Linked DNA regions of Saccharomyces cerevisiae S288C. Changing the gene in region 1 together with any one later gene gives a genetic interaction. Each region holds a gene or a part of one and is shown on either strand. Other genes may lie near its edges.

Region 1 (3,619 bases):
TGATTAATGATACAATTGTTATAATTAATGATATAGACGTAGGCACAGACAATGTTTGCGCCCTTACGTTTCACTTGGTGGTAACATCAATGGCAGGAGAGATAACTGTTCTTAAAGGCGAATTTTTCAAAAACTGCAGGTTAGGAAGAATAAAACTGTGCGATTCACTAAAGCTAAATAGAAAAGATCGGTTTGTCGACAAACTTGCTCTAATCGATTATGACGGTTTAAATGCACAAAAAAGAAGGTTAGATTACGATGAAAAGGACCTTTATACATTCATTGTGAAAAAGGTAAAAAGAGACTAAATTGAGTTGCATAGATGTTAGCCATAATAGAAAATAGCGTATGAGGTAGCAGGAGTTATAAGACGTATTTACGTATATGTATGTATATGTTATTATTATTACCTGTGATTGCACGAAGGCCTTTTTTTTTCACAACAAGAAGATGTAAGAAATTTACATGCTATTTTGATTAATGGTCGAATTAGGTATTGTCTTTAATCTTTCATTAAGAAAATATAATGTAACCAAGAACAGCTTGTTAAAGGGCTTCCTATTTAAAGTTATCTTCTTTTCCCCAAGGTACCACTCCTATATGGTTGATAAGAATTGTAGTTTCTGTAATTGGAAGAGTTGGAAATGCTGTTATTATCAACATAAGTAGAAGGGTTATATCTGGAGCCATACATATTCTCCGATATCGACGAGACGTTTACTTTTGTATTTTGATACCGTGAATTTTTACTAATATTATTATTGAGTGACAGCGTCTCGCCCCTTATAGTTGGTTGAATGACATTAGACTTTTGATAAGGAGGAGGATGGAAGTTCGATGCTCTACGTTTATTTCTGCCACTATGAGAGTGATCGTTTTGGGAATGTCTTTTATGGGAAGGTCTCGGTAGTGGATCCTCATCGTATATGGACTCACTAAATTGATAGTCTTCATTTTCGTCCGAATTTCTGTTCATGTGACGGTAATATTCCTGTTTTAGCTCAACTGACAAATTAGAACCAGTGAACGCACTTCCATCCTCGTTAGGTACTCTAGATGATCGTTTTTCCTTGCAATCATCACCAAAGTGCCCCTTTCCACCGCAGTTATAACAGTATATAGTATGAAAGGGAAGGACCTTGGGCTTAGCCTTTTCATTATCATCTACTAAAATATATGCTCTCCATATACTAGGACATCTTTCTTTTGAGTGTTTCTTACTCTTACAAAGAGTGCACTGAACTTTTTTCCATTTATGTGGACATTGTGACCTGTAATGACCCACCTCATCACACTTTGAACACTGGATAGCCTTCGGACAATGTCGAGAATAATGATCATCCGTCGCCCCACAGTACGAACATATTATATGGGGACAATCCTTCTTCAAATGACCTCTTTGAGAGCAATTATTACATTTAGGTGCTGCCTCTTTAATGGCATCCTTGTCATCATCGCTTACGCCAAAATATCTACCCTGCCCTCTAAGAGCTCTTAATTCGTTGGGATTACTATTTACTTCCTCTATAGAAGGTGCTACAAGTTTATCTGGAGGAGTTGTGGGTGCCGTATCGACGACAAATGGTGCCGTATTTTTTTCCATGACTGCGAGGAAGTGATGTAAGCTGCTATCGTTGTACAGGTAAGGTTTAATTCTCTCTGATGCTGCCAATAGTCATAACTTTTTTCGAAATGTTTCTTCCCATCCCATTAGTGTTTGAAGGAAAAAAAGGCACTACCCGGATCATGAATACATTTGATGGTAATAATATATATCACATTTTTAAGCATGTATTAGCTACTGGGAAAGGGCATTTTGAAATGGTATGTTTTCTTTAAGGATGAACTATATATATTACATGAAATATATTTCAGGTTTACGTGAAGGGTGAAAAAGGAAAATCAGATACTCACCTGTAATCATTAGCGGGCTCGTTTGGATCAGTTTTAAAGATTTTGTCCGGGTTCATGATTCTCTTTGGGTCAATAGCTAGCTTAATCTTTCTCATCAAATCGACGGGTGCTTCACCTAATTCTTCGAGCAAGTACTCTCTTTTACCAATACCAACACCGTGTTCACCCGTGCAAGTGCCTTCTGCGTTCAGTGCTCTCTTGACCATTCTGTCAACAAGTTGGCTACAGGTTTCGTGTTCTTCAGGGGTTCTGTAGACGATGAATGCATGGAAGTTACCATCACCTGCATGACCAACAATGGCGTTGATCAGCTTACTAGCTTGCATGTCCTTTTTAGTTTCGTGAATAACCTTGTCGAACTGCGACACAGGAACAGCTACATCAGTTGTCCAAATTTTAGCTGATTTGTCTTTGCTCTTATCAGCGTCTAGCACAGACCATAGCGCGACCTTTCTAGCTTCCCATAATTCCAATTTTTCGTCATCATCTTTAGCAAACTGAAAACTGTTGCAGTGATTTAACTGGGCGACAGCCTTAACTTCATCCACAAGAGCATTGACAATGTTGGGAGATCTCCCACCAATCTTGAAAAACATAGTTGGTTTCTCTACCCAATCACATCTGTCCGTGGATTCAGATGCGTTGATCAACTTCATCATATTTTCATCCAGTAACTCCATGGCGTTCAAATGAATACCACTCTGAGTCAGATTAGAAGCACATGCGGCCGCATCCTTGATAGTATCAAAGGATACCACCGCAACAGTTTCAGCTTTGGGCTTGACATGACACTTGACAGTAGCTTCAGTAACAATACCTAAGGTACCTTCACTTCCCACAAATAAACCATTTAAGTTATAGCCAGCGCTCGACTTTCTGGGTCTTTTCTTCGTCTTGACAATGGTCCCGTCCGGCAACACTATAGTCATGTTTATAATATTCTCCTTCATGGTACCGTAACGGTAGGCGTTGGTTCCTGAACAAGAATTAGCAATGCAACCACCAATCTGTGCACCTGGACCAGGGTCACAGCCAAACATCAAACCGTGGTCGCTCAAATAGTCATTCAAATCCTCCCAGGGTAGACCGGCCTGCACGGTGATGTCCAGGTCCAGCTTGTCAAATTTTACGACGTTATTCATAAACTTGGACAGGTCTACGGTTATGGTATCTCCAATTCTTGTAGGCAGGAAGTGCCCCTCCAAGGACGTTCCGCCCGAGAAGGGTACAACTGGCATGTTGTTATCGTGACATATTTTCAAAATTTTGGAAACTTCTTCGGTAGTATGAGGGAATAATATAATCCTAGGTCTTTGCTCGGGAGAGGGGTGATGCGTGTTGAAGTAGGTATCTGAATGGGCGTCCAAATCGGATTTCGCATCAGAGTAGTTTTCAGGCTTGTTTCCCAGCACCTGCTTCAGGTCCTCAACAACCTTATCGATCTTAACCGGGTCGTGCAAATAGTCTGGTGAGTCCAATGAGGACAGCTTTAACGTAGAATTTACTGGGTCGATCTTTTTGACCATTTCCAGCTTCTCTATCAAATCTTCCTTAGTCTCCCTAGAATAGAGGTTCTTAGCGAACAAATAACCGAATAGAGTAGCTGAAGAGGCGATGACAGAGTATTTTAACCACTGGCTGCTGCTGTCGGTGCTGCCTGTGCCTGTTGAGGCGTATCTGTAGCATGATCTTCTCACCAGCCTTC
Region 2 (3,759 bases), on another chromosome or scaffold:
ATGTTAAACTGGGGTAATATATTTTCTTGAACAATTTTCCCACCTGAGGCAATAACACCCTTTTTAACAATATATCAGTGTTTGTATTCACCTTGATTGTACGTTCCACGAAGTCTCTCGAATTTCTTTCCAGGCATAACGCATCTTCGCACCATAGGCAATCTTCATATCCGTCTTCAGTCTTCATAAATTTTCTAGCAAACTCATAAATCTTTCCTCTAGGATTTAGTACTAAGGATCCTGCAATAACGTTCGAGTCGCCGCTGAAGATTTTCGTTAGCGAACTACAAACAATATCGGCATACGGTAATACATCTATATTGACAAAGCCACCCACAGTTTCATCGACCACTATGTAAAATGAATACAAGTCTGATAGCCTTTTCAGTTCTTGTAAATCTCCCATTTTCAACAGTGGGTTCGATGGAGCTTCTATAAATACCGCCAGTATTTGCTCACCAGAATGTAAAATATTTTTCAGAGCGTTCATTGACGTTGAATCTCCCTGTCCCAAGAAATGTGTGTGATTGAACTTCCGAAGAATGCTCAGAGTATCTGTATATGGGAATCCAAACATGACGGTCTTCTTGAACGGAGGTCCATATCCAATCAACTTATCTTGTCTACTAGAAGACCTTGATAAGCGCTTGGCATCGAAGTTTAAAAGCAGCCTGTGGGCAGTGAAAATGGACGCCATTCCACTTGGAAATAAGTAAACATCCGTATTAGGGTTGACATGAAACTTCAAGTCATCGGTAGCTGTGTTTTCAAAAGTACTGTTTGAGCCACTTTCTCCCATAGAAGTAATTGTTTCGGCAGGTATGTCCGAATTCAACTGATCATCATCCAGAGCCTCTCCACTGCCAACATTGAATGGACCGTTGCTCTCGTTATAGTGTTCAAAAGAGAATAGGTCCGATAGACCTTCAGAGTCAATTTTTTCAACAACTTTTGTGGCAATCCTCTTTCGTATTAGATATTTGGCTTTATCAGCAGCAAGAAAATTTAAATTTCTCCCAAATCTCGTTTCTATATATTCTTCGTTCACTCTGTTTTCATCTTCGGTCATAAATTTTTTACCGTTATCCACTGTTTCCATCTTCTTAAGATTATCCTTGACTTGTAATTCATGTAAAATATACTCCGCCATTCTGCTAGATACAATCTCACCAGAATGTTGCCAATACTGCTTCATCACGGGGAATATTTCCTGGTCTACAAACACCACCGTGATTTTACATTCCCTTCTCCAGAGCTTTTCCTCTTGGTTCATAGGTTTAGGTGTACATAGTTGTAAGATGCGTACTTTGGTAGAAAGACCCGTTTTCACTTTGATAAACTCTCTGCACCTATTGGCAACCTTGTAAGAGGGGAAGCAAAGACAAGCTTCATCTTCCATGGAGTACTTAGCGGATAAAATTTCACATAATTTCTTTATTGACTTGTGTATGAAAAATCTTGGATATCCGGTAGTAAGCGAGTTAATTATACTGCTTTCACCCTCTTCATAGCCTACTGTAGCTTCCCATGTGGGCAAACACACGGAAACAGCATGTTTTGTGTTGGGCGGAATAGATTCACCAATGGTTCTAGATATCATTTTTTCTTCTGTTCCTCTTCTCTCTCTTGTTTATGTAGGTCCCGAATCGGCACATGAGCGTCATTCTACTATCGTTATATATATGGGTATATATATATATATATATCCAAAATATATGACTAATTTTTAGACCGAGATATTGTGAAGTGCAGAGGCGCTATCATGATTTTTGTTTTTTACATCCACGCATGAAGATAAGTCATATTTACTAGGTTTGAAGGGTTTTACCTGAACAACACTGGCAATCATTGAAGTTAATTGAGTTCTTAAACCGCAAGATATTTTAATATGAATACTGCTATTTTTAAATAAGACTGTAGCAAAATGTGGGGTTAAACTTTTACAAATTCACTTTGGTTGTAACGCATTTTCTGTGGAAGAGCAATTATTTGGAATTTTCAGTTTCGCCAAACGAAAGAATGAAAGAAATGTGCTTTGCCAAGAAACGAAAGACGACAGAAAAAGGTAGTAAAAGAGGAAAAGGTTAAACATTGAAAAAGGATTCTATGAAGAACTCTGTCGGTATTTCAATTGCAACCATTGTTGCTATCATAGCAGCTATATACTATGTGCCATGGTACGAACACTTTGAGAGAAAGTCACCGGGGGCCGGAGAAATGAGAGATCGGATTGAAAGCATGTTCTTGGAATCGTGGAGAGACTATTCCAAGCATGGCTGGGGATACGATGTGTATGGACCTATTGAGCACACTTCCCATAATATGCCTCGTGGCAACCAGCCGTTAGGCTGGATTATCGTAGATTCAGTGGATACCTTGATGTTAATGTATAACTCCTCCACACTATACAAAAGTGAGTTCGAGGCAGAAATTCAGAGATCGGAGCATTGGATAAACGATGTTTTGGATTTTGATATTGATGCCGAAGTGAATGTTTTTGAAACTACTATTAGAATGCTAGGTGGTTTATTATCCGCATATCATCTATCTGATGTTTTAGAAGTAGGTAATAAGACTGTCTACTTGAACAAAGCAATAGATTTGGGGGATAGGCTTGCTTTGGCGTTCTTATCCACTCAGACCGGAATTCCATACTCAAGTATAAACCTTCATAGTGGCCAAGCGGTTAAGAACCATGCAGATGGGGGGGCATCTTCTACCGCAGAATTCACTACGCTACAAATGGAATTCAAATATCTGGCGTATTTGACAGGAAATCGTACTTATTGGGAGCTGGTGGAGCGTGTTTACGAGCCATTATACAAAAATAACGATCTTCTAAATACCTACGATGGATTGGTTCCAATTTATACATTTCCAGATACTGGGAAGTTTGGTGCTTCGACTATCCGGTTCGGATCAAGAGGTGATTCTTTTTATGAGTATTTACTAAAACAATATTTATTGACGCACGAAACACTTTATTATGATCTGTACAGAAAATCCATGGAAGGTATGAAAAAGCATTTATTAGCACAATCCAAACCCTCTTCTCTGTGGTACATTGGGGAAAGAGAACAAGGTCTACATGGACAACTTTCTCCTAAGATGGACCACCTCGTGTGCTTTATGGGGGGATTGTTAGCATCAGGCTCTACTGAGGGCCTTTCTATTCATGAAGCCCGAAGACGTCCGTTTTTCTCTCTTTCCCTTGAAAGAAAAAGTGACTGGGATTTGGCTAAAGGGATAACTGACACATGTTATCAAATGTACAAGCAGTCTTCCTCGGGGCTTGCGCCTGAAATCGTTGTCTTCAATGATGGAAACATAAAACAGGATGGTTGGTGGCGGTCGTCTGTGGGTGATTTTTTTGTTAAACCACTCGATAGGCACAACCTACAAAGACCAGAAACGGTGGAATCGATTATGTTCATGTATCATTTATCTCATGATCACAAATATCGTGAATGGGGGGCGGAAATCGCAACTAGCTTCTTTGAAAATACCTGTGTTGATTGTAATGACCCAAAATTAAGGCGGTTCACCAGTTTAAGTGATTGTATCACGTTACCTACAAAGAAATCTAACAATATGGAAAGTTTCTGGTTGGCAGAGACTTTAAAGTATTTATATATATTGTTTTTAGACGAGTTTGATTTGACCAAAGTTGTTTTCAACACAGAAGCTCATCCTTTTCCAGTATTAGACGAAGAAATATTAAAATCGCAGTCTCTGACCACAGGTTGGTCGTTGTAGGTT

What was found. Genes that interact genetically often act in the same process or in processes that back each other up.
Region 2: mutations in AIR2 (region 1) and STR2 together harm fitness more than expected from each alone (negative genetic interaction), as found in Saccharomyces cerevisiae (2 studies listed by BioGRID).

The regions. Positions count from the first base shown.
Region 1 is NC_001136.10:143,916-147,534, forward strand, and holds AIR2 (TRAMP complex RNA-binding subunit), read right to left. Parts: upstream 1,604-3,619; coding exon 569-1,603; downstream 1-568. Other genes in the region: GID12 (Gid12p), read left to right, coding at 1-308; DLD1 (D-lactate dehydrogenase), read right to left, coding at 1,911-3,619. UniProt on the Saccharomyces cerevisiae protein: Component of the TRAMP (TRF4) complex which has a poly(A) RNA polymerase activity and is involved in a post-transcriptional quality control mechanism limiting inappropriate expression of genetic information.
Region 2 is NC_001142.9:665,538-669,296, forward strand, and holds the start of STR2 (cystathionine gamma-synthase), read right to left. Parts: upstream 1,601-3,759; coding exon 1-1,600. Other genes in the region: MNS1 (mannosyl-oligosaccharide 1,2-alpha-mannosidase), read left to right, coding at 2,107-3,756. UniProt on the Saccharomyces cerevisiae protein: Catalyzes the formation of L-cystathionine from O-succinyl-L-homoserine (OSHS) and L-cysteine, via a gamma-replacement reaction. In the absence of thiol, catalyzes gamma-elimination to form 2-oxobutanoate, succinate and ammonia.